2 linked regions of the Saccharomyces cerevisiae S288C genome follow. The protein of the gene in region 2 interacts with the protein of the main gene of each other region in a biochemical or structural test. Each region holds a gene or a part of one and is shown on either strand. Other genes may lie near its edges.

Region 1 (2,525 bases), on a different chromosome or scaffold from region 2:
ATGGCTTTGCTAATTCAGACGACCCCCTTGAGGTGAAAAAATAGTCTCAGTAATGAAACAATCATAGGCAATTAGTTCGATTTTTTATAATTATCTTCCAGCCTTTCAAATATTGAAAGGCCATCAACTATCACTTACACCTGAGTGTTGTCATTGATCCGTAAAGTAAAAAGAGGCAAGTTTTGTGCATATTCGTATCATGCACAATGGCCTAAGGCAAGTATTTTCAGTGTTTTTTTTTTTTCATTGCCGTTTTGCTATTCAGAATATATTGAATTATATGTATAATGCATACTTAATAGAAAGAAGGACGCTAATTTTCGTTATAGAACAGTAGTTTCAAAAAGTGCTTCAAGTTTATAGAAATCAGTGCATCCCTTCACTGAACGATGAAGAACACCACCATTTCAGAAATTTTTATACATAATCAGTTGGCTTTCGTATCCTGCCTCGTATCTTTCTCTAAATCATTTAAAAATCCTTCAATACTCTTTACGACATCATCGTCCTTTCCCATAGCATCTGAGTTTGAACTTTCACCGCTTTTTTGTTGGCTCAAGGCAGAACTATTCTTGCCTTCATTTTTGGTTTTTGGTTTCGTGGTAAAGTAAGATGCCACTGCAGCAGTAGCGATAAACGTAGATATAGCCAATACGTGAGGTTGAACCGTCTTCCCAAATACTTTGTATGCAGCACCCATTGAGATAGCTATATTTATTTTTGTATATCTTATGTTTAGAAACAGTAGCGACCTTTCTTACTTGTTCCTTCAAAACTTGACTTAGATAACTATTTACCCTTAAACCGTTAGCTCTGTATTATGGACTGTGAAATTACACCTCGTTACCCGAAGTTCTATTATATTTTCAATCCATACTCCTATGATCTCTTCATTGGGAAAAAAAGGTCCACTTTCTCCTGGATTGCTCGAAGGCTTTCCGTAAAGAAAATACCTTTTATTTTTCTTTGCTTTCTTTCTCCATTAAATAGTAAACGCCTCTTTCTGAGGCAGCTGGCTAAAAAAATGTAACAAGGAATTTTATTTTATTACGGTTCAGCAAAGGCCGTAACGATAGTTGTATTATTTTCGTTCATATGTAGCAGCGATGGTAGCATTTTTTATTGTATAAATTGTGGCTTGCGTCGATTATCTTATTATGCCACTCATAATAAAAAGTTACTCTCAAAATGTCAATATTCAATAATGCATGTCTGTCTTTTTAATTTAGTACATACGTAGGATTAGGTATTGGAAGCAATCATAATGAGTTCTAAAGTTGTTATTTCTCACTTATTGCACCTCTCGAAGTTCTCTCATTAGCCGCCCAATTCTCATTCGTGTGAAGGTCATTAACGGGGTAATGCCCGTCATCAATGATAGAAATTTCTAGAATCTTGAAGGAATGGGAAAAAGAAGCTTGATTATGTATAAAATTAGTCAAAACGCTTATACAGTACAAACTTATTATGTGCTAGGTTTAAAATAATTTCTGATAGAAGCCATTGATCGAAAATATATTGAATCTACAGAAAAAAAAGAATGTCCACCCTTTTGAAGTCTGCTAAATCTATCGTTCCATTGATGGACCGTGTCCTTGTCCAAAGAATCAAGGCACAAGCAAAGACAGCATCCGGGTTGTATTTACCTGAAAAGAACGTGGAGAAGTTAAACCAAGCTGAAGTTGTTGCCGTAGGCCCGGGCTTTACTGATGCTAATGGTAATAAGGTTGTTCCTCAAGTTAAAGTTGGTGACCAAGTTTTGATTCCACAGTTTGGTGGTTCTACCATTAAATTGGGTAACGACGATGAAGTTATTCTTTTCAGGGACGCTGAAATCCTGGCTAAGATTGCCAAGGACTAAGAATGATGTCTTCTTCAACAGAGATTTTATATACATACTCTATATGTATGTACCTGTAAATAGGCCATTATGTATGACAGGAAAAAAAAATAATTGAACTCAAATTTCTTCTGCTATTCAGTTGCTGCCCCCAATTGTCTGCTAATAAAATTGATCTATTCATCAATAGGAATTTTAGGGACACTATGTGTACAAACTATCCGCTCATATTTTGCCGAATAAGAACAATGATTTCTTCTTTTTTTTCTTCTTCTTTTTCTTGTCGTTACGATCATCACTTTCAAAAACATCGCCACTGCTACTATTCCTTCTACTGGATGATTTATTTCCAGAGGAACTTCCACTTTTAAACACCTTAAAAATCCCAACTCCACCCCCAGTGAAGGTGTTCACAGTACTAAAACTAGACGAGCTTTTCTTTGACCCTGCACTACTTGAGGAGTCATTAGTTTTGACTTTTCTTAACGCACCGGCACTTTTAACTTTCCTCAAAGGAATGCTATTATCAACACTACTGCTTTTATCAGATGGATCAAAGGAATTTTCTTTGTCGAAGGAAATACTGTGCCTTATATCAGGCAGATTTCTGGCTTTGCCAAGGGCGGCTCTTCCATCTTTGTGTTTTACAGAGGTTGCAAACTTGATTTGGGACGTAGGCGAGCTA
Region 2 (3,764 bases):
AAAATGATAACTTTGGGTGCTCTCTTGCATAAGAAGGCTGCGAACAACACATCAAATCAATTCTAGTCTCTATCGATTTAATTAAGCATAAAGTTGAGTACGAAGGATTGTTTGTCCAGTGGCAGGATACGCTCATTGCGTTACCTGATCCGCATGGAATTTCTGTAATGGCGATATTGTTGAATGCTTTGACATGATCAGGCCTTTGGTATAACCCATTGATCACCTCATGAGGAATGCCATCTCCCGAAGCGCAAGCAATAGTGTCATATTTGTCAATATCCATTTCCCGCGCGATCTCTATAGCATGACCAGGGTATTTTGTATAAACCACTTCTATGGAACACCGACTTGCTAATAGTAACGGCTTTGCCTTTGTCATAAACAGTTTTTTCGCCTTACCTTTACCACCAAACGGATTAATGATCACAAATATGGATTTGTTCCTTCTAGTGTTTTTGTAGCTTCTCTTTAAAATCTCCTCAACCAAGTCATCTTCTTCTTTTAAGTGAGAAGATGAATGGGGTTTATAGTCAATATACAATGAAACCCTTTTGGGTACAACGTCATGCCGTCTTGGCCTAGCAAATATAACCTCTACTAGTTTCGTAAAAGGAGATCTGGAAGTCAGGAGGCTACTACTACTGTTACTTCCTCGCGATAGCGAGTTGCCCTTCCTTTCTTTTTTTTGGGAAGACTCTAATTCATCAAGATCACACTTTTCACTAATGTTACTCATTGAGCTGCTTAAAGGTGAACTGGGTGATGAATTGGCATCATAATAATGCAGAGGTTCCTTTTCAATGTATCTGGCATCCAGAATTCGTCCATAGGGGATAACGGTGTTTGCTGGCAATTGACCATTCACCGAAGGATAATGAAGTTTTGGATTAGCAGAAAGATCATCTTTACTTGTATCCGTTGTCGATGTTTCCGATCTGTCTATTGTATCAGTATCGCTTAAACAGGTAACACAGCTAATTAGTGAAGCCGTTTCAAATATACTGTTGTTATCACTGTTGCTTTGAAAGCTAGTTCTACTGATGTTGCTTTGAAAGCTAGTTCTACTGATGTTGTCAATGCTGCTGCGACTTCGTTTATCTGCCATTCTATTTGCGTATGTGTAAGGACTTGATGGTTTTGCCTTGATCATTATTCCTTCCTCAGTCAGTATCGCTGACGTTATTTGCTTCTTCCTGGAATGGCGAGACCTGCCCTTACGTCTCTTTGAAGGTTTCAAAGTCATCTCTTTTGGCTTACTGTTTAAATCTTACACTATTTGTGGTTTTTTCGAGATAATATCAAGAGTCCTTTTACTCTTCTTTTCTTTCCTATTTTGCAACACGTATATACAACAGTTTATGCTGTAGTTATACTTTTTTGATTGTTTTTGTATAAATAGATTCGGCTCACGCAGCTTACGTTCCCTTTCTTCTTCGCCTGCGAAGGCTTTAACAAGGCCCGAAAACACCTTGATTTGCAAATCTAACTATGAATCTTGCAGAAAAGCGGTGGCAACTGAAAGGGAAAAAAACATAGATTAAAAGAAAGCAACATAGTAACATAAAGGAAGAGAAAATTTTGATGATAAAGAAGATGAATAATATACCTAATGCATCCAAATGTTCCTCCTGTTATACTATTGGGAATTATTGCGAGTGCATCCATTCGCGCAATGATCAAGTAGAACGCCAAGACTAGTTGTGCAAAGAAGTACAGTTGAAATTCCAGCCAGTTATGTCTCATCCCTATTCCACTGTTTTTGTAGGTATACAATGGTGTTACGAGCAATTGAAGCTGTTTATTGCCTGGTATTACCTCTGGAAACTTACTTTATAGCCGCCCATCTGTATATGTCATCATATACGGACCTCGTGGAATTTTCCAGAAAACCAAATGGGGAGGGTGACTTTAATTTTGCTTCGTTTTGCCCGGAGCAGAATCCAGACGGACATTCATGTATATATATTGAAGGAGACTAAGTTTTACATTCATTATGTAAGGTCGTGGTTGCGTCTTCATGCACTTCCTTGAATAATATAAGAAAATTCCCACGAGAAAACATCATAAGCAAAAAAGTTTTCAAAATGTTGAGATCATCCGTTGTTCGTAGTCGCGCTACTTTAAGGCCTTTATTGCGTCGTGCTTACTCCTCTCATAAAGAATTGAAATTCGGTGTAGAAGGAAGAGCCTCCCTTCTTAAGGGTGTCGAAACTTTAGCTGAAGCGGTTGCTGCTACTTTGGGTCCAAAGGGTAGAAACGTTTTAATCGAACAGCCTTTCGGTCCTCCAAAGATTACTAAGGATGGTGTTACAGTTGCCAAATCTATTGTGTTGAAGGACAAGTTTGAAAATATGGGTGCCAAGTTACTACAAGAAGTTGCCTCCAAAACCAATGAGGCTGCTGGTGACGGTACTACTTCTGCTACTGTCTTAGGTAGAGCCATCTTCACAGAATCCGTCAAAAATGTCGCCGCTGGTTGTAACCCTATGGATTTGAGAAGGGGTTCTCAAGTTGCAGTTGAAAAAGTGATTGAATTTTTGAGCGCCAACAAGAAAGAAATTACCACATCTGAGGAAATTGCTCAAGTAGCAACCATTTCTGCCAATGGGGACTCTCATGTTGGTAAGTTACTAGCTTCAGCTATGGAAAAGGTTGGAAAAGAAGGTGTCATCACTATCAGAGAAGGTAGAACATTGGAAGATGAACTTGAGGTTACTGAAGGTATGAGGTTTGATCGTGGTTTTATTTCTCCATACTTCATCACTGATCCAAAGTCGAGCAAGGTGGAATTTGAAAAGCCATTGCTATTGTTGAGTGAAAAGAAAATTTCTTCCATTCAAGATATCTTGCCAGCTTTGGAAATTTCCAATCAAAGCAGAAGACCTTTGTTGATCATTGCTGAAGATGTTGACGGTGAAGCTCTTGCGGCTTGTATTTTGAACAAGTTGAGGGGTCAAGTTAAGGTTTGTGCTGTGAAGGCGCCTGGTTTCGGTGATAATAGAAAGAATACAATTGGTGATATTGCAGTCTTGACGGGCGGTACTGTTTTTACTGAGGAGTTGGATTTGAAACCAGAACAATGTACCATAGAAAACTTGGGTTCTTGTGACTCTATTACCGTTACTAAGGAAGACACCGTTATCCTGAACGGTAGTGGTCCAAAGGAAGCTATTCAAGAGAGAATTGAACAAATCAAAGGCTCCATCGACATTACCACCACAAATTCATATGAGAAGGAGAAACTGCAAGAGCGTTTGGCCAAATTGTCCGGGGGTGTTGCTGTCATCAGGGTCGGTGGTGCATCTGAAGTTGAAGTTGGTGAAAAGAAGGACCGTTACGATGATGCTTTGAACGCTACCAGAGCTGCAGTTGAGGAAGGTATCTTGCCAGGTGGTGGTACTGCCTTAGTGAAGGCATCTAGAGTTTTGGATGAAGTTGTTGTCGACAATTTCGATCAAAAATTGGGTGTCGATATCATAAGAAAGGCCATTACAAGACCAGCCAAGCAGATCATTGAAAACGCTGGTGAAGAAGGTTCAGTTATCATCGGCAAATTGATTGATGAATATGGTGATGATTTTGCCAAGGGTTACGATGCCTCTAAGTCAGAATACACCGACATGTTAGCCACTGGTATCATCGATCCATTTAAAGTGGTTAGATCCGGTTTAGTTGATGCTTCTGGTGTTGCCTCACTATTAGCTACTACCGAAGTTGCTATTGTTGATGCCCCAGAACCACCAGCAGCTGCTGGCGCTGGT

The links.
Region 1: the proteins of HSP60 (region 2) and HSP10 form a complex in vitro, tested with the Saccharomyces cerevisiae proteins (one study listed by BioGRID).

The regions. Positions count from the first base shown.
Region 1 is NC_001147.6:369,860-372,384, reverse strand, and holds HSP10 (Hsp10p), read left to right. Parts: upstream 1-1,540; coding exon 1,541-1,861; downstream 1,862-2,525. Other genes in the region: MCO10 (Mco10p), read right to left, coding at 428-700; YOR019W (uncharacterized protein), read right to left, coding at 2,066-2,525. UniProt on the Saccharomyces cerevisiae protein: Eukaryotic CPN10 homolog which is essential for mitochondrial protein biogenesis, together with CPN60. Binds to CPN60 in the presence of Mg-ATP and suppresses the ATPase activity of the latter.
Region 2 is NC_001144.5:663,326-667,089, reverse strand, and holds the start of HSP60 (chaperone ATPase HSP60), read left to right. Parts: upstream 1-2,087; coding exon 2,088-3,764. Other genes in the region: sphinganine kinase LCB5, read right to left, coding at 1-1,246. UniProt on the Saccharomyces cerevisiae protein: May participate in assembly and/or disassembly of proteins imported into the mitochondrion. HSP60 are ATPases and have affinity for unfolded proteins.